7 linked regions of the Tribolium castaneum genome follow. The main gene of each other region encodes a partner of the protein of the gene in region 7 in a complex. Links are inferred from orthologs where the notes say so. Each region holds a gene or a part of one and is shown on either strand. Other genes may lie near its edges. The genes, in order: Nup54, Nup75, Nup107, Mgtor, Nup214, PCID2 and Nup153.

Region 1 (4,052 bases), on a different chromosome or scaffold from region 7:
TTAAATTAATGATACAGTTACAACCAACAAATGAATCACGTAATTCCATAATAAATGAGTGACAGATTCTACATAGAGAGAAATTGACATATTGAGAGGCTCTGAAGCTCACACTTAAAATAACCTTGAAGACCTGTACAAATCATTAACTCCGTTCCGGACACGACGTCTGTGGCATCCTGCCTTTGGCCCCCACGCCGTCCGCCCCCAGGGCCGTGTGCACCACGATGCTGGGCTGGCCGGGGGAGGGGGGGTGCACCTCGTGCGACGCCCCCGGCGTGAGGGTGGCCAAAGCTGCAAGAAGGTCATGATTGATAATGGGCTCACCTTCCGGCCGGGGCTCCCAGTCGAGGGGGGGCGACGCCGGCGGCGAGATTAGGAACTGCTTGAAGGGGGCTGGCGGCTGCAGGCTGGGGTTTTTGACGGGGGTGACGGGTTGAGCAAAGTAACACGTAATCACTGAGTCGTTGATTTTGTATTGGTGGAGCTGAATGCGGGCGCTGGCGGCTGCCACGGGCGTCTGGAAGTTCACTCTCAGTCTTCGGAAACTGCGCAGCCACTGGAATGTCACGTCCGGGTCGAAGTTCCGGAACAGGTTCTCCATTTCGCGCTTTTTCTCTGCAATTTTACGGTCAGATCGGGTGAGGGCTGGGGGCGGATTACCGGGCGAGGTGAAGACACTGTCGTGGATGTTGGTGACGATGAGGGACGTCGGCAGGTCCTCGAACTCGTCGTCGGTCACATGCTCGGGGCTGTCGATGTCGGCCTCCGCCAGCAGGTTGGGGTGCACGTTGGGAAGGCCGTCTTGGTCGTTAATGATGATATCGTCGTCCATTTCGCCGTTGCTTTCAGCCATTGAAAAATTGGATTAAATTCACCGACACAGGATCTACCGCGGTTTAAACCCCATAAAACAATGCGCACTTTTTCGGCTAAACTAATCAAGGCTAACTCTTACGCTACTAAATTTTAACACAAAAACATTGCAATATCAAAGTGCAAAAAACACAACCCAACAATTGCAAATGCCAAATGTCAGGAATGAATGACACTTGACAAGGGGATGAAAGCCGAAAGTTCGCCAGCCCGAATTGAAATACAAAGGAATGAGCTTAAAAAAACGTAAAACCCTGAAATGGATAGATTTCCAGATAATTAACATAAACACATGAGCGACTTTTTGATTTCGTATTTTTTTGTACAGAAAACGCTGAAATTTTGTGAAATTGCCGGTGTATAACCTAGGTTTGAAGTTTGACAGTTCTGTCAATTCGTTAAGTTCAATTTGTGAATACATAAAAAATTGTAATTACTATTTTTATATAAATACTAACGTTAAATTTAATGCAGTTATGGCATTTTCGTTCGGAAATGCAAACCAGTCGACTTTTGGAAGCCCGGCAAATAAACGTAAGTTTTAGAACCGTAAGAAAGTTAGGTTAAGTTCTTTCTATTTTGTTATTTGGTATTCACGGTTTTATTTATTTTCCCTTTAAACCGTAATTAATGAGATTTAATTTTGCCCAAAACGCCTGACTAATGTTTGTGTTCTTAATTTTTAACCAGAAAAAATCGAAAAAGTGGCAGCGTTTTGTACCATTCAGACTCAACAATACAAATCACCACACTTTTTACAGATAAAATGTTAATTGGTGTTTTAAATGGTTATAAAATTTAATTGTGATGATTGTTAACGTGTGAGTAACAATTCAACAATTTTTGTTTGAAACAAATCGCTAAAAAATGTTTTGTTTAGTGTTTAACTTAAATTTTTTGTCACGTCTGTGCTGCACAGTACACAAAAGTAATTTCATTACTTAACTGATAAAACATGAAAAACTGGACGTGTTCAATAAAAAACCTAGATTATAATTTATAAACCAAGAATTTATTTCGGCAATAACATTTTGAGGATATAAATAAACCTACCTAAGCGAGTAACAAAAATATAATGATAGTAAAATATAACAGATTATCACAAATATAATTAATACGATTTCATTCTTCCGTTTGAGATGGTAACTTGGCTCAAATCGGTTGCACAATCAAGCGATCCTGAACGGCTGGCTTTATATCGCTTATAAACGACGATAAGAATGACGATAATTAAGAGCAGACTGACGATTATAACTCCCAAAACAACGTACAAAGTTTTTCCCTCAACGTCGTATCCTTCGTAATATATTTGGTTCGAAACATCCGTAGTTGAAGAAAATACGTCAAGTGGGGTTGAAGTTGTATTTTGTGTACTGTTTTTTATTTCGGCCACTGCTGAAGTGATGTTGTTTTCAAAAATACCGATTGTTTCGGTCGTACTGTCGGTCACTTCGGTTATCACGGTGGTAATCGTTGTTGTAATATTTTGAGAAATCTCAGGAGTGGTAGCAGTTTCTGCAGTAACCGTACTGTTGGTTATTTCGCTGATGAGGGTAGTAGCTGGGGGAGTGAAACTCTGCCCAATTTTGAGTACGTTTTGATCGTCTGTGACTTGAAGGGTCGTTCCAAAACTTTTAGTAGCCCCTTTGATAGGAAATGAGAATAGCTAGAATCGGAATTTTTAAATCCAACTTGAAAAATAAAAATTAAACTCACCGTAGGGCCCGACATTGTGCTTTTTATTAGCGAAGGAAAAACACTTAACTCTGCAAGAACTTATCGGCGACTGAAAGTTTCTTTCCACGCTTTGAATTTTTATCGCTGGTGTTTATATGTGCGAACACGGTTTTCCTGCTTTCCTTCCATTCGCAGTAAAATAACAACCCGGGGATGAGTCACAAAATGCTGTTTAATGCAATTTCTTGTGGTTGGGATAAATAAAATCCGTCATTTTGTGATAACAAATTGGGAAAGCGGCACTGCAGTCGAAAAAAACTTGTTTTGAAATTATCTACGTGTTTAAATTCTTTTTAAAAAATTTGACTGGAATGACACTTGAAGGATTGAAATAATTTCATTTATTTCGTGTTTATTTCGTTTTTGCATAAATTTAAGTCTTAACAACAGCGTATTTTTTGCACGATAAGTATTCGCATAGTTCAAGTTTGACTTGCATTTTTTACCGAGGAGTAGTTTCCGTTTGGTCATTTCCCCGTAACAAATACTTTTTTCATGGAAATTCTTTTCTTTTCGTTGAAACAACCCAAATAGAAAAATAAATAATTTCAGGATTGTGGTTTCGTAGCCATTTCCTTTGGAAAACTACAAATTTCGCTGAATTTATTCAATTTATTCGATTTTTCCTGAATTAAAACGCACACTTCTTATCGTCTTAGATTATTTATTAATTTTTGTAAACACCTAGTCATAGTTTTATGTTTTTCCAATGTTTATCCACAGCCACCGCATTCGGTACCCCATTTGGGGTAACCACCACCACGGCTAGTACCGGCTTCGGCAGTTTCGGCTCTTCCTTCGGAGCCACTTCGCAGCCGTCGACCGGTTTCGGCTCAACTTTCGGAGCCCCAGCTCAATCTTCAGGTTTCGGTAGTACTTTCGGTACTCCTGCAACTTCCACTCCAGCATTTGGTTCGACTTTCGGAGCCCCAGCATCAACCTCAGCCCCGACATTCGGTACCGGCTTCGGTCAATCGACCGGCGGCGGCCTTTTCGGTACTTCCACAACCAAACCAACCCTTTTCGGAACTCCCACCACTTCAACCTCGTTATTTTCGACCCCTAGTTCGGCCCCCAGTTTATTCGGGAGCGGTACCACCACACAAGCCCCAAGTCTTTTCGGGGGGGTCACCACCTCGACTCCTAGTTTATTCGGAGCTGGCAGTACCCCAGCTCCGAGTTTGTTCGGTACTGCGACAACTTCGGCCCCGAGTTTATTCGGGACTTCGTTCGGGGGCACGGCCACCACTTCGGGGGGGCTGTTTGGGGGGAGTACAACAGGGGGAGGGTTTGGTTTATTCGGGGGTACTACTACGACGAGTGCGCCGTCGTTGTTTGGGGGGTTTGGGGCTACGCAAACAACAGGGGGGTTTGGGGGTTTTGGGACTAGTGGAGGGTTCGGTCAACAGACACAAGGGAGTTTGTTTGGGGGCGGGTTT
Region 2 (4,300 bases), on a different chromosome or scaffold from region 7:
TTGATATATTTAAATCGTAGTATTTTTTTGTTAAAATCTAGTCTTAATAAATGTTTTTTGTGACACTTTGTTTTATTTTACGTCAAATTAAAATGGGTAAAAAATTGAGTCGTCCACGAGGTAGCGAACAAAGCACTTATTCCCATATTTTTTATACCGGGAGTATCGAAACTATTCCACCATCAATCACCTATCCTTCGATATGTACTTCCCCCTCGTTTCATTTGTCTGAAAAGCCTTCGGTGTCGAAGTGTGACAGTGAATTGATTCATTACGGCGAACTGCAGAGTATGTACATCAAGTCTCAGACTTTCACAGCTGATCATTTGGCCCCCTTGACCATCAGAACCTCACAGTTAGTGCTGTCGCTTCTGAAGAGGCATTTGGGGCAAATTGTTAGCGACATCCACGCAGGGTACTGTTTTATTTAATTTAATTTTTTTGCCTATTCAAAAAATTCATAACTCAAAAACTAAAATTCGTAGAACAAAACGGTTTATTCCAGTGAATTCAGCGACTCATTTTACGTATCATATGTTTTTTTTACAACACTAGCTTACTCCAGAACGTATTTAAACACTTATTTGAATTTGAAAAATGGTGGATGCGCCGGGTTATTTTCTATTTTTTGGCAGGACATTGAAAATGCCTGATAAAGTGGTAGAAAAGTTTGGGGCTGCAAGTGCCCGGAACCCGAATCAGCAAACAGACACATATACTATCCAAAGACGAATGATCACTCATTTCGTCTCGTTACTTCACGTTCATGAAATGGTTTTAACTTATCTCAAACAGAGACGCATCGAACAAGCGCTCGATTTAATCAAACAAATTGCAGTTAGCCACGCACTTAAGGGAATCACAGTGACTGAATTTCGGGTAAGTCCCGATAATTCTCTAACTTGTTTTGGCAAAATACGACTTGCAGTTAGTGGACTGGTTTATTGTCAATTATTTGATAAAAAATAAAGTAAGCACTGACGAGAACATAAACCACTTGATGCTTTACTTAAGCACCCTTTCAAATTACATTGTGCGATATTTCGAAAGTCAAAGTGTTCGCCATACGATGCTCCGGGACATGACTAGTGTGAAAGTAAACGATCGGAGCAACAAAGCAAGGGAAAACTACCGTTTAATGAAACAGTGGACCTCCAGAATTGAACATTCCAGAGGCCAAATTAAGGATCTAATTGACAAGCTCCTCGCAGATCAAGCCCGCATGCAGGAAGCCAGAGAGGCAGAAATTAGGAGCATTGACACTCAAACGCTCAAAGAAAAAGACTTCATTATGCGATTTTTCGTACGCAAGAAACCGACAGAATCGCGCTCAACGTCACACTCGCACCAGGAGAAGGCCTCAACGTGAGTATCACCCCAATATAACAAATTCAAAATACCCGCCCACAGGATTGACGGCGAAGTTAAATCCCTACCGTTACCGTTCTCGCTACCAACCCAAAACGAAAGTAACCCTAGTAACCGAACAGATTTCTAAATTACCGACCCGGCTAACCGCTCTCCTCAAACAAAATTCGAAAAAAATACGGTTTTTTTGAATGAAAAGGCGCAAAATTTCGTGTTATTTAACGCTTCCCGACCCGTATTAATGGACAATACCGCCAAAACTTTCGTAAGCAGCGATCAATTTTTGAGGTTAGGTCATAATAACTTGTAGGTTATTCCAAATGAGTTATGCCGACGTGCTGGAGTGGCGGCTTCGTGGCTTTCCGTCAACGAATTCGGTGTTTTCGGCCACCAGAAAACACCAAAAGTTGATAAACCGAGTCACTTTGCCCCCTCGGACGCCTCTGTGTTTCAGCTGCGCCCCGACATTATTCTCTTCAAACCAATTTTACGCAAATTGGTAAATGAGGCCAACGGGACGTTTCTAACCCTTCAAGCCCTTGTAGCCACTGAGGGCGACCACAAGGCCGAATTATTGAAACTTAGCCGGCAGTACAGGTCCATAATAAGGGCCTGTTTGGAGAATTTGCAAGACGAGGTGATGCGAGCCGATGGCGATTATCGCGAAGAATTGCAAAATTACATTACGATTTTTTACTCAGTTGAGTGTATTTGGCACTTGTGTGAAATCTTATTTGTTGATGCGGTCCCAGGTGGGTTAGTGACACGGATATCTAAAAGCTAGGATGCGAAACGACGTACAAATAAAACGTCCTGAACTCGGTAGTTTTATCGTTAACTATATTTAAAAAAAATTCCGGACTTTTTTAGGTTCAGAAAATCCGGTAATTTCGTACATCGTTTCCTCCTAAGTTATAGACCTCTGTAGTGACACAAAATTTGGGGATTTTTGCCAAACAGTTGGGGTTTTAGGCAACATTGTTTTGCCCCACTTACTGGACTGGATTCGGTTTCATTTTCCGAAATATGACCGAAATGCGGCAAGTATGTTGGCTGGGGATTTGGGTGGTTTGGAGTCACACCCTGACTATTGGGAAACTGTCATTGGGTCACTATTACAAGGGCGGGTCAAGGTCGTTAGGGCCCTACTTAAATTACACTCAGAAGCTGAGTCACAACCTTTCAGAATTGTGGATCAGTGTCTGAGAGCAATGCCGGTTTATAACGTAAGTAGGCTGGGAGAAATTGACAGGTGTTCATGGCCGACTTTAGATGTTTAGTGGGACTTCAATCGCTGAATTTAATCTACAATGGAATCATTGGGTCGTGGATGTTCAATCGAAAATTGATGCGAAAATGTTTATTTCTTGTTATAATCTCAATTTGATTATGAAGGTTTTGTTTTAAGTGTGTTTGAGTTGGTAGTTTTCTTTATAAGATTTTTTGTAGCTTACGGTTGGTAACGAAATTGCATGGGGGGAAATACAGCAGTATTGCGAGACGTGGTATGAAATGTTAGCCGCGTGGTTATTTTTTACCCAACCTACTGTTAAATCGTTTGAGTTGGGACAGTTTGCCAAACAGTGTATCACGAAAATGTCCATAGGGAATAGAATTAAGCATTTGGATAGGATGTTGTTGGCAGCAATGGAGTTTGATATTTTACAGGTAATATGGCGCCACCTCTGTTAAGTTATTAAATAAAACTGAGACTTTTGAATAATCCTGTATTTTTCGGCTATACTTTTAGTTTTACACTTTTTTGCAAATGTACACATAAATTCTAACATTTCTTTGCCAGGTGATTAAAGAAATCCAAAATATGACAGACAGTGGCTGGTTTGTGAGCCACTTAACCGACCTACTTTACCATTCAGGCCGTCTAAGCGACACAACTATCGAAACTATTGAAAATTTGTGAGTCCCCGATTTTTTTTAAACCGTTTATTTTACAATTATTATTTCAGCCACCCTGATAAATTGCGCGAGTCATTTTTAATCGATTATGGCTCGCTTTTAATGGGCCATAAGTCACTATGGCAGGTCGGTTTAAGCTACTTGGACCACTGTCCCAGCGATGGCCCTGAAGTCACAAAATTACTACTTGCAAGACTGCCTCTAAATTCCGAAATGCGGGCTGAGAAAATTGTGAGAGAGGCTCTGAACCGGAATTTAACCGAAACGGCACAAAGTATTTGTAAAGTGCAAGGAATGGCTTGTAAAAACCGGGGGCGTCTGGGACACGCCCTCGCCTGGGCCCTCAAATCACAAGACGGCACTTTTGTGTCGTTTTTATCGAACAAATTTCTGCGAGAGTATGCCGAAAGTGGCGATTTGAACAGTATTGATCTTTTGGATAATCTCGGATCGTGTATTTTGGCAAGCGATAGGTTGATGTTTTTAGGCAAATATTACGAATTCCAGAAGTTATATCAAGCGAACGAGTACAAAGAAGCCGCCAATTTGCTCGTTTCGTTACTTGAGTCGAAAATAATACCAAACTTGTAAGGGGAAAACACTTAAAATTGCGGTTTTTTATCTAAAGATTATCTTGTAGTTTCTGGAGTATTCTATTAACTGACGCAATACCGCTACTTGAGTGCGAAAAAATGGTTTTTTCCTCAACTGATACCTACATCATTATGCAGTGTTTGGAAGAGCAGGAAAAAACCAAAGACTTGAAAGACAAACTTCCGATCTTGAGACTGTCAGCGACCCGGAATTTAGCACGAGCTTTGGTACACGAAGCCCAATTAAAATGATGATTTTTTTAACAATTTTTTATTAAATAAATACTTTACGTAAACAATAATACTTTTAATTGGCCACTTTAAGTGCACTCGCCAAGTCCTCAAATTCCTCAATTTTCGTATCAGTGATTGTGTCAGGGTCACTGTAAGTCACTCTGGCCGCAAAAAATTTCTCTTTTAAC
Region 3 (4,258 bases), on a different chromosome or scaffold from region 7:
GAAAACCATCAAACATAAAACACGGAGAAATGAATCGATGAACCATTCGCCAAGTGCCACCAGTATGGATAAAAAGAGCGGAAATGCGAATCCCGCTTTCACTCAAGACGTACAAATGGAAGTGTACAGAACCAAATTATGATTTTTCTTTCTTCCTAGAGATGGATGTGAGAAATGGACACGGACTCGTGTTTTTAGTGCCTTTTATTTGGCAACATCTGTGATCTCTAGCTGATAAGATACAAGTGTTCGATTGTTGAATTATGCAAAGACTACTTAACTATTTTTATACCTTATTACATTGTTATTATTGAATAAGATTGTACAACTTGATACGCGTACGTGTTGAAATATTTATTTTCTTTTGTAAGCTTAGACTAGTGCTAACAACGAGTATTTATTACAACATTTTAGTACAATAATATTTAATTAATAATAAGCGTAGTGTTTGTTCAAAGAGTTTAAGCTACCAACGAAAATATAATATAAATAAAAAAAATTTTGTGGATTTTTGCCTCCTTTAAATGCCTACAACCGAAGTTATTGACAAAAAAAAACGCTCCAAGTACTGAAAAGTCGCCCAATATTTCCAGAATCTTAAGTCAATGAATTTCCGAAAATACAAATACATACCACTAATGTGCAGTAATCTAATTTTTGTTGAAAAGCGTACAATTTACCTCACTTTGTGCTTAAAATGTACTTTTCCTAACCACAAATGAATTGACAAATATTTGGAAAGTGATGTTTTTTACAAGTTTTCAAGAAAACTTGCTTTTTCACCAATTTCCAAAAATAATGCCCACAATAATGTGCAATAATCTAATATTTTGTTGAAAAACATGCAAGTTACCTTACTTTGTGCTTGAAACTTCCAAATTAACACTGAACTTCTAAACTAACACTTAACACTTCATTCTTCCAAATCCTGATTGTCACAGTAACTGAATTTAGGAATATCCGGGGAAAAACTGGTGTTTTTTTTCCACAATTTATAAAAAAAACGTAATTAAGGTAACTTTTTCACAAATTTTTCATAAATGTAGACAAAAAAGATCCGGGCACACACGAGAGACGCGATAATGGAAAAAGTGTTGCCAACCAAATTCACTGAATTTCCGAAAATAGTACCAATAATGTGCTATAATGTTAAATTTTGTTAAAAAAACATGCACCTTACCTTACTTTGTCACTGGAATCACCAAATTATGTAAAAATTACACTTAACACTAAGTAACATCATTTTTCCAAATTCAGTATTCACACATGATTTACAAATTTTTGAAAAAAACCGGTGTTTCCTACCACAATTTATAAATTGAACTTAATTAAGTTACGTAATTCAACACTTTTTTCACCAATTTTCCTTCAATTTGAACAAAAAACACGATAAACACAAACAGACGCGATAATTTGAAACAAATGACGATCGAGGAAAAGAAAAACTGTTACCAACCTGAATCTAGGGACTTTGCAACGCTCTGAGGCAACGCTAGACTTGTTTTTTGAGGTTATGCAACGGCTTTTTGTGTGTGTTTTTTATTAAAAATGGATAATGATTTGGAACGGTCGGTGCGTCTTCTCGAAGACGCTCTCCAGACCCCCACAAAAGGGCTATTTAAGGTCTCGACCGCAACTCCAAAGCGTGAAAAACCTAACCTCAGCTTTACAATAAACCCCGAAGACTTAACCGGCCTGGAATATGGAAGTGTTTATCAAAACACCTTGTCTTTATTTGTCGATGATGACAAAACGGTCACCGGGTCGGTGATCCAAGCAGGAACTCCATGGAAAAACACTGTTAATAATTTATATACAGAGTTTGCGGATATCCTGCAGGGGTCCACCGGAGGCCTTGATATCCTGGACGTGGCCGAAGACTTGGCGAGGTGTTGTAGTGACGCTTTGGCGGTGGTTAAGTCACTGAAAGCCAAAGTGGCCACTAGTGAATTAGCCGAAGAGAAATGGCTCGAAAATGAGCGGAATAATTGGAGACTGCTGTATGTCCTGTACCAGGATCGGATCCAGGCCCAGAACCACAGTAAGGAAGGGTTTGAGGAGGATTTCGGGAGCAGTGAAAAGAACTGTGTGTGCGAACTGTTCAAACGAGAGAATTTGGTTAGGGAAAGCCAGTTGGTGATCGATTGGCTCGAGAGGAACGCTCTGGAGAAGGGGGACCCCATTTTAATGCACTCAGACTGGACGTATGGATGGGAACACACTTTGCATCAATTGCTAGCACCTGATGCTATTGCAATTGGGAGTAATGTGGATATTATCAAGAACATACATCCAGATGCGCCACAGTTTCAGCGCTTATCGCTGCACCACTTGGATTACGACAATGACAAAAAACTATGTCAGAGAATTTTTATGGAAATTAGGTGCGGCAACCTTGAGGGCGCCCAGGAAGTTTGTGCTGTTTTCAGCCTTTTATTATTTATTCAATAATTAAATTTCAGTTATGTTACAACAGTGGTTATCCATGGCGCGCTGCGATGTTAGAAGGCTGGAAGCTTTTTCATAATCCCAACCTGGAAACAAGTCTTGAAGAGTATAAAGACGTAGAAGGGAACCAAAGGCGGGATTTGTGGAAATCTTGCGCATTAGATTATTGTCATAGGGTAAGTTTTTCGTTCCACAGCCTCTTTGACAGTTCGGGAACTTCGCTATCTTTTTTTTTGATACCATTGTTACTAGATAAACCGATGTCACTTTGGCAGTTGTAAAACATGTATTTATTTTATGTTTATTTATTTAAAATTTCTGGAAAATAATTAACCAAATTTAGGACTGAAGACGAAGTTTCGTATCTATCAAGGAGGCTGTTTTATAAATTTGAAAAAACTACTAAAAAATTTCAGTCAAACTTGAACATTTATGAAAAAGCCGCCATTGGTAGTCTTTGTGGTTTCTTGGAGGGCATTTTGCCCGTTTGTACCACATGGGAGGACCACCTGTGGGCCTACATGCGAACCATGGTCGATATTCGTGTTGAATCGGAAATTCGCGACTCAATCATTAAAAACTACATACCACTACCTGAAGAATATTGGGAACAAAAGAAATCATTAAGTGAAATTTTTACAATTTTGGAAGCCTCGAAAAATATTGACATTGCAAAAGAAGCGCATGAAATTGATCATGTAATTCAGAAACTTGTCATTTTAGACGAAATTCCCACACTGATACGCCTCCTAGATCAGTGGAGTGAAGATCTAAGTGTTACGACACAATCTCTTCGATTTTATGCTCACTTAGTTTTGTTTTTTGAAAGCGTCGGAGACTCCACTCATAGAAAAACGTGTGAAAAAATCGTCGAAACGTAAGTTTTCTTGGTTGTATAACTCGACTTAAGGCCGGGCGCTTTAGTCTCCCGGTATGGTGACTATAAAAAAATTTGTGTCTAGTGTATTTTATGTTCTTAATGTTGACCATAATCTCGTCAGAACTAAATTATTGCTTTTAATATTTTTACCACTTTTTTATAGCTACGGTATTATTTTTTGTTTTATTTGACTTCGAGCTTCTATAAAAAAACATAAAGTGTTTGCTACTCACCGCTGCGTTGCTTGTGTTTTAATATCATTTGTTTAATTAGATATATCGAGCGTTTGAGCGAAATGAACGAAACCCAGCTTGTGGCCTTCTACGTGAGCAAGCTGGGAAAATCCAAACAAATCCAACTTTACGCCAAACACTGCGAAAAACTGCTTTCGACTGAGCAACGCAAAAACGCCCTTACTTACGCTGAAGATTTCAGTTTGGACGTATTTGCTATAACGCAACAAATCGTCGAAATTATAACAAGCCGACCGTCTGAATCCGAACTTCCCGGTAATCTCCAAGGTAAAATCACCGAAATCGACGAACTCAAAATCTCCGCTATTGATTGGCTGATGTTTTACGAGGAGCAACGAGCCGAAGCATTGGCTCAAACCAATTCTATTATTTTCAAATTTCTGATTTTGGGCAAATTAGAAGCAGCCCAATTGGCAATCAATAAAATTCCTTACGATTCTATAGAGAAGATACGCAGCGAAGAGCAGATTCATCAGATTGTTAAGAATTATTTGAGTTATAAAGCGTATTTGGATGCACATGAGGCGTTTAACGAGTGGTTTAGACAGTATAGGAATAAGCCGATGCCACCACCTGAACTGCCCGAAAATGCACAATTTACTGAAAAAGTTGCTCATAATCATAAAGTCTCGCAGTTTAATGCCGAAGCGGAACGGTGGAAATTGACGACATCGCA
Region 4 (3,500 bases), about 23 Mb from region 7:
GTTTTGAAGTGTTTTATTAGTTTCTGGTAATTTAGAAAATGGAAATCGGTAAATAATATTATTGTTTTTTCTTCGTTACTTTTGCTGTGCGGTCCGTTATTGCAAACAAATAAATGTTTTTATTTCTTATGTTGTTAAACAAGGTCTAGAAATTTTAGTTTCCACTGTGTAGTTTTAATATTCTTAAAGTCTTTAATAATTAAAACCTGTCTGAATAAATTTTTTAGAGTTGTTTTTACACAAATTCCACCTTATACTTTAAAAATAATTGTTGGCAGTATTATTATTAGCATGATTTTATAACGATTGTTCAACAATAAAAATGTGAATCTTTTTTTGTCCTGTCCGTTATCAAGTTGTACTTTTTTCTGCTCGTATTTCAAATTTTACAAATGTGGTTCTAATTGTAAATATAAACAGTTTGACTGTTACTTTGTAAATTCCTAGAGGGAAAAGAAAAATTCATTTCTACTGATACTGTTCATAGAAACTGAAAATAAAATCTAAAAATTTTGTTTTTTGATTGTTCATTTGTAATTTTATCTTGTCCTGAAGAAAAAACTTCAAAAATCTAAAAATTTGTGCAGTGTCCGTTAAAATGAAATGGCTGAAAAAAATTAAAGACTATTAAAATGTTTCATAATTTGGCAAGATAATTATTATTTCGAAGATCAATAACTTCATTATTTCAGAAATTTTACCATTTTCTGTCTGTTTATCTCATCTTTATCACCCAATCCATTCTCCTTTTGCATCGGTCCCTATCTTTGGGAATAATATTGTAAAAAAATTCTGTTACAACAATTACTATCAAAGTATTCTCAATTTTTAAGCAACCGTAAGAACGAGAAATATTTTTATACCGAAGGTGTATTGAATTTTATTTTGTTAAAAATTTTTTTTGAAGCAACCTAAGTAATTTTTTCAATATACAAATCCAGAATGAGCGTAAACGCTACTTAAGCGGCACCCAAGGTACGGTTCAGTTTAAACTATCGTAAGCTTTAGACAATTTTAAGCTGCACTTATTTACGGTGCGGTTAATTTGCCACCCTTAAGCCATACCGGTGCAGTTAGGCCTTGGTGGTTGGCTGTTTTATTTCCCGTTTTTTTATTATTATTTTTATTTGCTTCAAGGGGGCCCCGGTGGTGTAACCTTATCCCAAGCCTCGACGTCAGTCTCCATGACAATGCCTTCCTTCTCGCGAACTAGACCTATAGCCCCTCTCCTATCCAGACAGCAACAGTCGCATCTGTTGTTGTCCCACGGGCTGGAAGAGGGCGGCGATGATGGTATTGTTCCATCAACGCCTACTTTATTTGTGCCGAGAAGATCTGACGGTTTTGGTGAGGCCGTTAGTTCTCCTCATGTGCCCACGAGTGGGAGGTTTACTTTTAACGAGTCTGTTCCTCCAAACACTGCCGGTTCTAGTGAGATCGTTCCTGAACAGACATTAGAAGTCACAAATATGGATGAGAATAGTATGGATTGGGGCACTTGTTGATGCTTTCTTTTTAACAGGGTGTTTCTTTTGTTTTAGGTACGGGCAGAAGTGTTCCTAGTACGCCTCTGCAAGCTTCACCTCAAGAAGCAGTACCTGGGAGTGAGGAACAAGGATCCAGTCAAACAACACAGTCAGATGGTATGTAACTGTAAGGCATAAGTTACATTTCCTGAGTTTTTATTTAAGAAAAGTTGGTATAAGGTGATGTTCTTAGAATAAATATACTATATTTAACCGCTTTGTACAACGGTAAACTAAAACGAATTTTATGATAAAATTATTTGAAAATTTTAAATGTCATAAACATGAATTTCTCGTATTTTTTTTTTAAATTTTATTTCAGTTCAAGTGAATTGAAAATTAGTTAGTTTTCATTGTAATCGTCTTTTGTTTATATTAAAAATAAGTTTTCTCTAAAATATTTCCAATTTCTTTTTTATGTTTATTTCAATAAAACGCACAAAAAATGGTTCACATTTGTATAAAATCTAAAATTGAAAATATTCAGCTTCGTGGTTTAGCTTTTTTTTGCAAAATTCTACCCGATAGTAGTTTTTAACTTCGAAATCAGAATGCTTGAGAAGATAACGGTGAATATTCTCATCTTACGCAATATATTTTTTCCATCCACCATTATTTCGCTTGAATAATTACTGAGTTATTTTAATTGACAATTGGAAACGTAAAAAAAATCAACAATTCAACCATATTTCTGTAGACGATAAAATTTCGTTTCAGCATGAAGTAATCAGTAGATAAAATGCCATTTTACCGTTTACGATGAAAAAAAGGGATATTTATGGTTTTCTTTGGAAGAAACCATATAAATAGGTTAAAACTGTGGCTGGCTCATGACTGGCTTTTGAAAATGTATACTGAATGTTATCTTCCTCGAAACATGAAAGCTTCTTTGTGTAGGAGGTAAAGTTAAGATTAAGAAAGTGAAGAATCTGATTTATGTTTTAAGAAATTACTGGTTGTTCGGATTATTGAAGTCTTACTGTATGAAATTTGACCAGAAATATTCTTTGTGTCTTTCTTGACGATGGTATAGTTTGGTCTACATGTTAAAATTTATTAAAAAAAATTAACGTTTTTTTATTACAGTTGATTGTAAAAAAAATTTTGTTAATCGTCATGGTGGTTTGTTATGCATATTTTTTTAGTAACTAAATTGTTTGTGCATTATACACTTGTTAATCAATCTTTATTATACAATGTGCATTTCCGATTTTATTTGAGAAATTTATAACCGACTAGATGAAAATCATTCTAACACACACTGTACTTTCAATAAAAAATACGATTTATTTGTCGTAAATTTTGTTTCTTTACGTGATTTTTATTCTCATTAACAGTTTTTTAAGTTTTCGAATCACGTAAAAATCAGATAACGTAACAATTTTAATATTGACCTTAATTTTGGTGAGTGTACAGTTAGATAATAATAAAAAAAATCAAGAAACAAGATTCATATTTAACTTTTTGTTTTAAAAAAATATTTCTAAAATAGTTTTTTTTATTAGCAGACCAAAAAGTAAGTTTCACATTTAAAGTTATCTCAGCAGATCAAGATAATATATTTTTGGGACCCTTGCACAAGATGACATCTCCGGTGTTTTTATTACAATTAATAACACAAAAGTAATAATCTTTGTCAAAGTAAAAATCTTTAAATTAGTGATAATATTAAAAGGCATTATCCATAGACTTTTCGAAATAGAATTCTCTAAATAACCTAAAACCTACCAGTTATTTGAAAATTTTTACGCAAAACAAAAATTGATTGATTCTTCTTTCTGTTCAAAATTTTGTCTTGAACTTCACACAAACACCTCACATAATGTAATGACCGTTTAGTAAGTATCACTATTAAAATCCACATGTACTTGTGTTTGGACAAAGTGTTCTTGAGACGATTTGACATTAAAAAAGCGAAATAACTTGACACAAAGAGCAAAGCAACTATAAAATATGTAGTGTTTTATGCAACGA
Region 5 (3,620 bases), on a different chromosome or scaffold from region 7:
TTTTCTCCAAAAAAGAGAATATCCACATATTTCATTCGTGAAGCCTCAATTGGCCAGTTCCGTAATCCAAACTCCGCCAAAACAACTTAGTCGGCTTCCCGAAAAAACTTCAGTTGCACCTCGGGTTCTCGATTTTGCGCAGTCAACTCCCAAACCCACTGTGCTCAAATTCGACTCCACGGCAACTCCAATCGAAGGTTTACAAAATTTAGCCCTTAAATTCGAGGCTAAAAATTTCACAAATTTGCCCGAGAAAACTTTCACGCCTTTGACTAAAAACGTGATTGCTGGGTCTCCAAATTCGGCTTTTGTCTCAACTTCGGTTTCTGCATCAGCAAATACTTACAAACCCACCTTCATGGCTGCAACTACAGCCGTGACAGCGTCTATTATTAAAACAAGTCCCAGTTTTGTGGCAGTGACTAGTACTGCAACCATGCAAGCACCTAAATCGTTTGTTAATTTGTCTTCCCAACCAGTTACTAGCAGTACCCCAAAGGTGGGGACAAACCTCTTTGCCACATCTTTGCCTAAAACTACATTTTCGTTCAGTTTACAAACTACTAGTGCGGCGCCCATTTTAACAAGTAGTGCAGCGACTACCAAACCCAGTACGTCTATTTCTGTTTTTAATCTATCCACGAGTGTTAGTACTACCGCGGAAAGTACGATTTTTACGAAAACTTCTACTCCGTCATTTGGTATTGCTACCACCACAGCACCAACCTCCACCCAGTTTTCGTTCGGTGGCGCTACTAATACTTCAAGTATTTTCGGTGCAGCAACACAAAAAGTGACCGAAGCTGCGACATCGAAAACCTTTACGTTTTCTACAAAGCCAGTAGTTACTTCTGCAACAAGTACTCCAAATGTGGTGGTTTCTGCCGTTTCCCCCGTTGCTAGCAGTACCCAACGTTCAATTTTCCCTACGACTTCTGTAACAACCAGTCCTAAAACAACGCAAGCTGTCTCGAGTCCAGTCTCAATCCAACCCACTTTTGGTGTAACAGCTCCAAATTCAGTTAGTACTACCAGTGGCACTCCATCAACTCAGTCCTCACCGTTTTCATTGGGGGCACTTAAATCATCTATTTTTCCCTCACCGGCTGTTCCTGCCGTAACTACAACACCGAAAATCGCCACCAGTGCGGCCACTGTTGTTACTACAGCTGTTACAACTACCGGTGTTACAGCTCCTGTTGTTACAACAGTCCCATCTTCAACTAGTATTTTCTCAACGCCAGCAACAACTCCATCAATTTTCGCTTCGCCAGCAACAACTTCAACAATTTTCTCTTCGCCAGCAACAACGTCATCAATTTTCTCTTCGCCAGCAACAACTTCATCAATTTTCTCTTCGCCAGCGACAACTTCATCAATTTTCGGCTCTATTGTTAGTAGTACTACTCAGTCTCCAACCATATCTTCAGCTCCGCCCACAACTGGGTTTTTCGGTGGTGCTCTTTCAACTAAACCACTCTTTGGTGGTACCGAAGTTAGCGCCTCGAAACCGTCAATATTTAGCAGCACAACTGCATCAAGTGTTTTTGGGGCTGTTGCAACCACGGATTCAAACGTTTCGAAACCATCCATCTTCGGAGCCCTGCCATCATCCTCCACTACAGCTTCTGTCTTTGGTACTGTTGCAAGTACCGATAGTAATGTATCAAAGCCGTCAATTTTTGGCAATGTTTCGTCAAGTACTTCACCAGCGACTGTTTTTGGCGCTACCACACCTACCACTCAGATTTTTGGTGGTGCTACCCCTTTGTCTACTAGTTCATTTGGGGCTGCAGCTACGACACAATCGTCAATTTTCGGCTCTCCCACTACCCCAGTTTTTGGAACTCCTGTTGGTACCACTCAGTCGACTTTTGCCAGTCCTACAACGACAACTCAATCTCAAGGGTTCGGTCTTTTTGGAGACGCCGCCCAAAAGCCTTCCCTATTTAATGCAAAACCAAATGCGACTCAACCGTCAATATTCGGAAGCACACAGCCGTCGATATTTGGTGGTACCACAACTTCTTCAACGTTCGGCCAAAGCCAGCCCTTCGATGGGAGCAAAAATACAAGCGCTTTTGGTCAAGGTTCTGTTTTTGGTTCGTCAGGTAGTACGAACGTTTTCGGGGGTTCAGCACCCGCTTTTGGCCAAACGGGTGGTTCCGTCTTTGGAAATGCACCAACTACGAGCTCTGGGAGCATTTTTGGGGCAACGACTACAAGCGGAGGTACTTTCGGTACTAGTGGATCTTTATTCGGAGCACCTGCGTCCACTGCCCCCTCACTTTTTGGGGCACCTGCATCTACGACTCCCTCTATTTTCGGTTCGTCGAATGTCTTCGCCCCTGCCACTACTCAGTCCGGTACTTTCGGCACCAATACCAGTTCCGGAACGTTCGGTTTCGGAAGTCTCAATGTTTCAACGACTGCAAGTTCGGGTTTCGGTGCACCTGCGAACCCCTTCGGGGGCGATAAGAGCGTTTTCGGAGCCTCTCCAGTGTCGTCAAGTGGCTCAGTTTTCGGTTCCAGTGGTGGATCGCTCTTCAGTAACACGTCCCAGAGTTTTGGTACCGGTTTCGGGAACCAATCTTCCTTCGGCCAACAGTCGTCCTTCTTCGGGGGTAGCAGTTTCGGTCAGCAACCTGCGGGGCCCTTCAGTGGTGGGAGTGGAACTGTGGGACAAACCGGGTTTGGGGCAGGTCAGAGCTTCCAAAAACCGGGATTTGGGGCAGCTCCCGTTTTCGGGGGATCGCCCAGTTTCGGGAGTTCGCCTAGTTTTGGAGGAGCGCCGGCGTTTGGCAGCCCACCGGCTTTTGGGAATACTTCAAAGGTGTTTGGGTCCTCAAGCCCCGGGTTTGGGGCAGCTGCTAGTACCCAGAACACAGCTTTTGGTAATTTAGCCAATCAACCAACAGTAGGGTTTGGGAATTTGGCACAGCAAGCTGCCAACGCCCCAGCGCAGAGTGCGCCGTTCTCTGGGTAAGAATTTTTAAACTGATAAATGGCATAGTACATTTTTTTTTGTAGGAGCTCCTCATTCTCCAGTTGGCGTTAATGAAGGAAAATGTTTTACGTTAAATTTTGTAAGCTGAAACTAATAAATTTTTTTAAAATTAATTTTATTTTTCACTTAAAACACATAATTATTTCTGAAAATGTGTACACTATTGTCGCACCCTCCAGAGACCAGATACTTGTTATTGGACCAATCTACAGCTAGGACTTGCCCTTGGTGTCCCTCTAAATTATAAAGTGGGGCTTTAGGGCTTCTGGAATCCCACAATTTGACACCAGAATCGTATCCTCCCGACATAAAAAGGTGTTCATCGTATTTTGACCATTCAATTGAACTGACCCATAGCGTATGTGAGGTGAAAGTAGTCTTGACCACTGAACCCTCTGAAGACCTTGGGTCGTACAACCGAATATGTCTATCAGCTGAACATGCTAATAATGTGTTAGATAGGGAAGACCAAGAAGAATCCAAAAATGCCTTCTGGCCAACTATTTCATTCTTGATACCACACAACTCAGCATCCCAAAATTTAATCGTATGGTCCATTGACACAGTGCAAATTACATGGTTGTCAATCCAGGAAGTCGAAGTTATGGTTTCT
Region 6 (3,203 bases), on a different chromosome or scaffold from region 7:
ATGTGAACACAAATTTGCTTTATATTAATTTTTGAATTTTTTTACATAAACGTCTTTTTTACAGTGAAGGCTATTCCAAATCAAAAAAAAAACTTTCGGATTTAAATTCAGCTAAAAAAATTACATCAGAATCATATTTCAGTAAACGTGTCAATTCTGTTAAATAGTTCTTTATTTTTGATTCTTTTTTAAGTTGTTAATAATTACGTTGCATTTCTCAAACTATCATAATCATTAATCACACAGACATTCAAGATATAGAATATTGCTTTTTTATATTGTTTTATTTTAAAATTATAAAATGTAGATATAGAAAAAATAACTTTTTATGGTACATAATAAGGCATACTAAAAGTATTTAAAGCAAATTTGGAATTCTGTGTAATTATTTAGCTTGTCATGCAGTAAAAATATACTTTTGCTGGGACACCCTGTAAAATTTGTTTTTAAATTTTATAGATGAACATAAAAACCTTTTATATGCTTTTGTACGGTCATCATTTAAAACATAACTTGTTTGTAATTTAAACGTCGTCTACCTACTTATACTTATAAGTTTTTTTTTGTAAAATATGGTTTTGTTTTTTAAGTAGCACTATACAAACAAATACTTTTAAGTTCGTAATGTGTAGCTTTAGTTTCTAATAAACAGTACTTAATTTTTTTGTTTCATAAGGAGCTAAAAGTAAACTACAATTAACGTTTAAATTGCTTATTATACTGATTTATGGGTCTGGCACGTGAAGCATTATTAAAGTTTAAAATAGCAAAGAAGTAAATAATTTCTTTCCATAAATTCCATTACTAGGCGCTTTAAATTCATTATTGTTGAAGTTATTACTTTCCTGTGTAATGGATTTTTAAATTATGATTTATCCTTGACTAGAATAATAAAACGTTTTCACGACTGTGTTTATAATTTCCTAAAAATTTTTTAATAAAATCAAGTTGGATAAGTTCCCGGTCAAGTTGCATCAAGCTGTTCCTCGGAGCGCCATCTCTGTGTGGGAAGAAAACATGCGGCTTGCGAACTGGTCTACGAACAGTTTTCGTTTTTATGGCATTTTACTTCCAGGATTTGCATTAATTTAATCCCTATTATTAGTACTATGGGACATATAACACGAATTAAGCTCAAATATCTTAAATTTTGTTAGGTCACAGAAATTATTATTGATTTTACTTGTATGAATCGCACCGCTCCCTATCGGCCATTTTATCACCATTGCAAAGACTTGTTTATTTTCAAGCTTATTCAAACATTTTTTCGTCAAACTCGTAAGACATAATGTTCTTTGCGTAACGGAAGCAACAAATATAACACTTGTGCCTAAATCACGTGAGTAACAGTTCAATTTCATTTATAAATGAAGCGGTTTCGGTTAACTGACGCCCCTAACCTTAGTTTTTCAGCAAAATGACTTTTATGTCCGTTGCTCATTACCTACAACTTGTGGAAAGGTATTGGCGGTCTCAGGACGGTGCAAAAGTGGCCAGTTTTCTGTCTCTTCGCCACGAACATGCAGGTTATGCCAATTACCACATTGAGAGTCCTGAGGGAATAGTTGAGCGTTTTTTGACCGCCCCTATCGACGAATTAGTGATTTTGCACCTAAAATGCCTGTTTGCCATAAGCCAGAGTGACTATCTATCGGCTTATAACATTCAGAGCAATTTGACGCAAACTTTCACTAAGATCTTGCAATCGCAAAAGGAGGAGAATTGGTCTTTGCCTATTATGTATGTCTTGTGCTTAGACTTGCGTCTTTTGGCGCAATTAGCCGAGAATCAGAGGAGCGGAATTAATGAGAAGCCCGGCGAAATGCTCGAGAAGGCAGCAGAATGCTTGATGGGTTGTTTCAGGGTGTGTGCTGCTGATAATAGGTCAGCAGAGGAGGATACAAAGAGGATAGGGATGTTGGCTTTGGTGAATCAATTGTTTAAGGTTTATTTTCGGATAAATAAGCTACATTTGTGCAAGCCCTTAATCAGAGCGATTGAGTCATCACCGTTTAAAGAGAGTTTTTCTCTGAGCCAACAAATCACATATCGGTATTTTGTGGGGCGCAAGGCTATGTTTGATAGCGATTATAAAGTCGCCGATGAGTATTTAACTTATGCTTTTGAAAATTGTCACAAGCTCAGTAAGAAGAACAAAACGCTTATATTGATTTACTTAGTTCCTGTGAAAATGTTGTTGGGGTATATCCCAAGCAAGGAGGTTCTGGAGAAGTATGACGTCATCCAGTTGTGGGATTTAGTACAAGCTGTATGTCAGGGTAATCTCAAAGCGTTTGACGAGATTATGGAAAAGCACGAAACCTTTTTCATCAAGTGTGGAATATATCTGATTGTTGATAAACTGAAAATCATAGCATATAGAAATTTGTTTAAAAAGGTGTATTTGATTCTAAATACGCATCAAATCCCTATTGAAGCACTGCAGACTGCTTTAGTGTATTTAGGACAGACTGATGTTGATTTGGATGAAACAGAATGTATTGTTGCTAATCTTATTTATGAAGGGAAAATTAAAGGATACATTTCGCATCAACATAGGAAGGTTGTTGTTAGTAAACAGAATCCATTTCCGCCACTTACAAGTCTATCATAATTAAGTTTTTATAAGTTTGTATAATTCGTCGTTCTCTACCTGCATTGTAACTATTTTGTAATTGCATATGAAATAAACTGTTAAAACTACCCGTTTTTTGTGTTTTATTAAAGCATAAACGTAACGTCTATAAATCTCTATACTGCGAAGTGACTAAGCGACCCTGCTGTCATAAGAAAAAAGCTAAATGTTGTATGCATAATAAAAACCGCATTAAAAATGTTTATGGAATTTTTATTTTATTAAAAATTGCTTTTGTTATTCGAAGAGGTCACAACTACAGTTGTTTTTTTTTAAATTGCTCAGATTTAATCTCGATACGAATCGTTTTGAAAATCAATAATGCATATTAAATCACCTAATGATTATGCCCATATAGGTAAAAAATATTCGTTTAAGCTTTACATAATAGATACGAAGTTAATACCGAATACATCCTTTAAATGTACTGTAAATATTATATTACATATTGCGAAATTTTGCACAAAAGGATTTATTTTCCCATAGGTAACTTTGTTACCCGAAAATTAAACTCATACATTTTATATGGAAATTTTATCATAGTCAAAAACTATTTAGTTTTTTATTA
Region 7 (4,187 bases):
CCTTGAGCAATATATTTCTATTATTTGGGAAAATTTATGAGTAACAATATTAATCTCGGCTTATAATAAGCATGAACACTGATAAATTGACTGATTTTGTGAATTTTTGTGTTGAAAATTTGCGCTCATGTTATATTTTTTTGATAAAACCATTAACATTATTATTAGTTTAAAAAATATTGGTTACGAAAATGGTATACCTAATTTTGGTATGTTTTCATGCTGAAGTAAATTTCTGTCTCCTGTCACATATGACTGACCATGTAAAAACTCGGTCAACGAAGATCCCTAATCCACTTTAAATCATCAGCAACATATATTGTAAAATGCTGAATATTCATGTTATATAAACTAATCTATAGACATTGAAGGAACTTGCTTCATATGGATTTACTAATAATGTCCGGGAAATACAGGGAATGAATTGCCAAGAATGAATGTCTAATATTTTTACAATTATTGCAGACATTATTTTCTGTGTTTAAATACGTACGTATCATTGATTTTTTGGGAAAGTTCATTACATAAAAAGGCAAGGATAATTTGGAATTTCTATTGATGTGATTGTTTAGATAAACAATTTCGTTGTTAATTGTTACTCTACTCACTATAGTGAATACAGTAAATCAAACTCTCAGTAGGAAGTACTGCAGCCACCTTTTATTTTCTGATTTTTTTCTTCAATAAATTTGCCACAAAATTAAAAAATGCATTTTTTATTTCATAGTGAGAAACAACACAAATACGACTATTGAAATGTACCTAAACCTGCCAGCTTGATGAATTTTCGATTTCAAGAAAATTTTACTTGAGATTTAAAAAAAATTGAATTGTTAATTTTAAATATTGCCGACACGTTAATTTTTTTTTGTGTATTAAACAGTATTTAACATTATCTTAATAATAGTATGTTAAAGGAAGAAATATGTTTTTTATCGCGGCAGGTATAAAAATAGCAGTAAAATTTGATAATGAATTTATTAATAAATATTTGTGATAGGCAACCGCACTAAACACTTGTGTTTTGGCAGTTGCCGCCTTGAAAAAATTTCAATATTAAATTTTTTTGAGGTACTATTTATACGTTTGAAAACTGTAAAAGTTATTCACATTAAATCAAATTGCATGTATTTTTTTGATTTTTTAAAAATTTGTAATTTTTTATAAAAGATATTTGGCAAAAAATATGGTTGTATTTTTAAGGGTAATAAACATTTTTATTAAAATTTTAAATATTTGTTGTTATTTTGTTCAAAAACTTCAAGTAAATTAACAAAATTAATTTAATGATTGAATTCAAAATTTTGAAAAATCAGCGGGAGAGCTTTGTTCCTAAAGCGCCAACTTCGTGTTCTTCGAGGGGGAGCGCGCGCAAAAAGCGGCTAACTTCACACTTGGAGTCCGCCATATTGGATCCTCGTGTGGTGAAAGTTGTCATAGAAATGTGTGATTTTCCAAAATTACTTTATTTGTGTAAAATAGACTAAGAACAATTGTAATTATGGCAAATAATAATAATGAAGGTGCCGAAAACAGTCCAGACAACTCGAAAGATGCAGGATTGGATAAGGTTTGATAAAATGCGTTCTTTGCACATATTCGCGCGTTCTCACCTCTAAATATAGCTATAAAAGTTTCTCACGAAATAGTGTCTTTACACTGCCCAAAAGTCGCCCCAGCACCTCCATGCAACCTGGCAGTGCCACCAGCACGCGTTTTTAACCTTAGTTTCTCGCATTTATTTATTTAACCTTGACGTGTAAGGTAGCTAACAGGTCCTATTTTGAATTTGTCTTGCAGTCGTTCGTGGGCAAGTTCGTGTCGGGGCTTTTCAACAGCACCCCCTTGTCCAAGTGGTTCGGCAAAGACTCGGCGTCCAAGTCGGTCAAGAGGCGGGAGGACGACGACGACGACGACGACGACGACTTTGATGCCTCCTACGTTTTCCAGCCACCAAGCAAACGTGTGAAACTACCGTCTGAAGTGGAACACAACAATTACAGTGCACATATATTTGAATCGCCAGTGACTGTGCATAATGCTTCCAATAATGTTAACAATGTTTCGTCGAAAGTGTTTGGGAAGTTTCCTGAACCGGTGGCGGGGCCGTCGGGGGTTAAATCCCGCAAATTGTTCGACAGACACCGTTCTGCTAGCACAAATACGGTCTCTACCAATTCGTTCGAAAATCAAGAAATTGTTAACGGTGAGAATGACTCTGACAGTGAAGAATCAACTAGTGGCTATTCTTCGGCACCCAAATTGCTTAATCAACCCAAAAGTGCAGAAATATCTCACAAGGAAACATGTGAAAAAGTCACTCCTAAAACTAGGTCCTTGTTTACTTCATGTAAGTTTACGTTACATAATGTTTGTTTTTAGTTTTTTTGCAGTGTTTTCTTAACTTTGGCAACCGTTGGGTACATAATTGTCTCAGGAATACTTTATTATACTTTTAGTATTGTGACTCATGCCAGAAAAATGCACAATATGAAATTACAAATTATCAAAACTCATAAATACGATCCGTTTAAAACCATAAGAAACTGATAATACCACAAATGATTAAATTAAAGTTTTTCTCTTATCAGCAACTTTCATGCTTTTGTATACAAAAAGCAGGTCTCCAGTTACCAAAGTAAGAAAAATGTTTACGCTCATTGCTGTTAGCTAAAGTCTGTAAAAGACCTCTTACATTTATATCATTGCCAGTATCTGCAAGACTCTTATGACGAACATAAGTTGTTTGGGTATGAGGTCAAAGTCTAGTAAAAATTGTATTTATGCAATAAAGGTAAAATAAACTATCTGATCTGTTTATAGGCTTCTAATGAGATATTGATAATTGTATGAAATAAGGTTAAAATACGTACCGATATAATAAACTTGTTATGGTTATTAATGGAACTAGTAATTTCCTTGTTTTGTTTTCTTTTATAATATTTGACCTCTAGGTTAAAGTACAGCATCGCTGTACACACAAAAATGTCATCACTTTCATTATACCTACGTGACGAGCAACAAGTAAATTAGTCACTGTTCTCGTATTGTTAATAAATTTTGTTTTACATTTTTACCTTTTTTTTTAAATTCTTGAAATTCCGGCTCGTCATTTTTGAGCTTGTCTTGACTTTTATCTATTTTTACCATTTATTAATTCACTATTATGAGCACTTTGTTGTCCTTTTTATAATTAAATTCAGAAACCTAAAAAACTCTTTCTTCTACCTTCTTGGGTGAATTTCAAAAATTAGCGTTATAAAAAATTATACACTTATTAGAATATCAGGTTCTATAATAAAATTGCTTTAACAAGAAGATTTAAATAGTTTAAATCTGGACAATATGTCACAAATCGCGTCTATTCAGTTTTTCACTGAGTCTGATATTTTTTCACTGGAATTAATGAAAACGTAAAAAATAATCGTTTGTTGCCGACAGTAGGTCGAGTAAAGATTGTTTTAAAAAAATGGGGAAGAGGAAACGTGATTTTTTTATTTTTTGTTATTAAAAAAAATACAGTTTAGCGAAACACCAGTCTTTACATAATTTGCTTTTCATATTGTGTACTCGGAAAAGGGGAAATAAAATCTTAGTCATGTTCTAAGTCTATGATTTAATTCTTGATGAATCATCTTTGCCAAAATTTGAACCGGTCGAGCTTGATAATGGAAATTATAATACAATGAAAAAATCCATGAGTATTATTCCGGCTTCAAATGCAGACTTGGAGTATTTTTGCTTATTTTTGCTATTTTCAGGATTGAAAATATACAATTTTGAGTACTTTTTATAAAAAAATATTCAAGAGTTGGCAAAAGTATGGACATTATACTTCAAATAGTTATTTAAATTGTGCCACACTCCTTATAAATCATGTGTTTTTATGAATATTATCGGTTTTGTGTTTTCTTTAGGCTTATTAATTAAAAAATTGAAACAATCAATTCGTTTTTTAGCAAACGAATCAAGCGGACGTACTTTATTCTCGGAAAGAAGCCCCAACATGAACACTTCTTTGAGTTCAAGACGGCCATCGTTTAACGCATCGACTTTCGGCTCGCCGAACTTTATTGACAGAACATTGTCTACCAAGAGAATATTGAGCTCACCTTTCTATAGCGGCAATACAATTTATGGCGGCGCCTCTGCATACGGACGTAGGTTAGGTAAAATTAGCGAAGAAA

What was found.
Region 1: Nup153 (region 7) and Nup54 share a complex: the UniProt entries of both Drosophila melanogaster proteins name them as parts of the nuclear pore complex. The link is inferred for Tribolium castaneum from reciprocal best matches to the Drosophila melanogaster genes Nup153 and Nup54.
Region 2: Nup153 (region 7) and Nup75 share a complex: the UniProt entries of both Drosophila melanogaster proteins name them as parts of the nuclear pore complex. The link is inferred for Tribolium castaneum from reciprocal best matches to the Drosophila melanogaster genes Nup153 and Nup75.
Region 3: Nup153 (region 7) and Nup107 share a complex: the UniProt entries of both Drosophila melanogaster proteins name them as parts of the nuclear pore complex. The link is inferred for Tribolium castaneum from reciprocal best matches to the Drosophila melanogaster genes Nup153 and Nup107.
Region 4: Nup153 (region 7) and Mgtor share a complex: the UniProt entries of both Drosophila melanogaster proteins name them as parts of the nuclear pore complex. The link is inferred for Tribolium castaneum from reciprocal best matches to the Drosophila melanogaster genes Nup153 and Mgtor.
Region 5: Nup153 (region 7) and Nup214 share a complex: the UniProt entries of both Drosophila melanogaster proteins name them as parts of the nuclear pore complex. The link is inferred for Tribolium castaneum from reciprocal best matches to the Drosophila melanogaster genes Nup153 and Nup214.
Region 6: Nup153 (region 7) and PCID2 share a complex: the UniProt entries of both Drosophila melanogaster proteins name them as parts of the nuclear pore complex. The link is inferred for Tribolium castaneum from reciprocal best matches to the Drosophila melanogaster genes Nup153 and PCID2.

Annotation. Positions count from the first base shown.
Region 1 is NC_087397.1:2,066,925-2,070,976, reverse strand, and holds the start of Nup54 (probable nucleoporin Nup54), read left to right. Parts: upstream 1-1,252; 5' UTR 1,253-1,352; coding exon 1,353-1,410; intron 1,411-1,866; exon of another isoform or gene 1,867-2,542; intron 2,543-2,592; exon of another isoform or gene 2,593-3,336; coding exon 3,337-4,052. Other genes in the region: sra (protein sarah), read right to left, coding at 146-618, 664-856. UniProt on the Drosophila melanogaster protein: Component of the nuclear pore complex (NPC), a complex required for the trafficking across the nuclear envelope. Essential for the nuclear import of nuclear localization signal (NLS)-containing proteins in an importin alpha/importin beta-dependent manner.
Region 2 is NC_087399.1:876,580-880,879, forward strand, and holds Nup75 (nuclear pore complex protein Nup85), read left to right. Parts: upstream 1-1,500; 5' UTR 1,501-1,609; coding exon 1,610-1,633; exon of another isoform or gene 1,634-1,678; coding exon 1,679-2,120; exon of another isoform or gene 2,121-2,340; coding exon 2,341-2,594; exon of another isoform or gene 2,595-2,640; coding exon 2,641-2,763; exon of another isoform or gene 2,764-2,817; coding exon 2,818-3,036; exon of another isoform or gene 3,037-3,169; coding exon 3,170-3,285; exon of another isoform or gene 3,286-3,335; coding exon 3,336-3,872; exon of another isoform or gene 3,873-3,925; coding exon 3,926-4,130; 3' UTR 4,131-4,180; downstream 4,181-4,300. Other genes in the region: mRpS23 (small ribosomal subunit protein mS23), read left to right, coding at 1-20; uncharacterized protein LOC660898, read left to right, coding at 51-415, 636-879, 929-1,365, 1,411-1,498; oxidized purine nucleoside triphosphate hydrolase, read right to left, coding at 4,186-4,300. UniProt on the Drosophila melanogaster protein: Component of the nuclear pore complex (NPC) that seems to be required for NPC assembly and maintenance. Required for nuclear import of phosphorylated Mad via importin msk.
Region 3 is NC_087395.1:26,509,844-26,514,101, forward strand, and holds the start of Nup107 (nuclear pore complex protein Nup107), read left to right. Parts: upstream 1-1,458; 5' UTR 1,459-1,548; coding exon 1,549-2,412; intron 2,413-2,462; coding exon 2,463-2,624; intron 2,625-2,864; coding exon 2,865-3,325; intron 3,326-3,601; coding exon 3,602-4,258. Other genes in the region: sodium-coupled monocarboxylate transporter 1, read left to right, coding at 1-142. UniProt on the Drosophila melanogaster protein: Plays a role in nuclear pore complex (NPC) assembly and maintenance. Required for nuclear import of Mad. Mediates the association between the nuclear pore complex and a subset of active chromatin regions adjacent to lamin-associated domains.
Region 4 is NC_087394.1:8,236,026-8,239,525, forward strand, and holds part of Mgtor (nucleoprotein TPR), read left to right. Parts: intron 1-1,137; coding exon 1,138-1,482; intron 1,483-1,541; coding exon 1,542-1,643; intron 1,644-3,500. UniProt on the Drosophila melanogaster protein: Component of the nuclear pore complex (NPC), a complex required for the trafficking across the nuclear envelope. Functions as a scaffolding element in the nuclear phase of the NPC.
Region 5 is NC_087398.1:6,201,336-6,204,955, reverse strand, and holds the end of Nup214 (nuclear pore complex protein Nup214), read left to right. Parts: coding exon 1-2,982; intron 2,983-3,030; coding exon 3,031-3,058; 3' UTR 3,059-3,120; downstream 3,121-3,620. Other genes in the region: ribosome biogenesis protein WDR12 homolog, read right to left, coding at 3,134-3,620. UniProt on the Drosophila melanogaster protein: Part of the nuclear pore complex. Serves as a docking site in the receptor-mediated import of substrates across the nuclear pore complex including emb, RanGAP and phosphorylated Mad. Protects mbo/Nup88 from proteasomal degradation at the nuclear pore.
Region 6 is NC_087397.1:8,459,988-8,463,190, reverse strand, and holds PCID2 (PCI domain-containing protein 2), read left to right. Parts: upstream 1-1,184; 5' UTR 1,185-1,339; intron 1,340-1,405; 5' UTR 1,406-1,417; coding exon 1,418-2,614; 3' UTR 2,615-2,703; downstream 2,704-3,203. UniProt on the Drosophila melanogaster protein: Required for the export of nuclear mRNAs and involved in mRNA trafficking in the cytoplasm.
Region 7 is NC_087394.1:31,197,843-31,202,029, reverse strand, and holds the start of Nup153 (nuclear pore complex protein Nup153), read left to right. Parts: upstream 1-1,387; 5' UTR 1,388-1,501; coding exon 1,502-1,570; intron 1,571-1,800; coding exon 1,801-2,350; intron 2,351-3,959; coding exon 3,960-4,187. UniProt on the Drosophila melanogaster protein: Component of the nuclear pore complex (NPC), a complex required for the trafficking across the nuclear envelope. Functions as a scaffolding element in the nuclear phase of the NPC.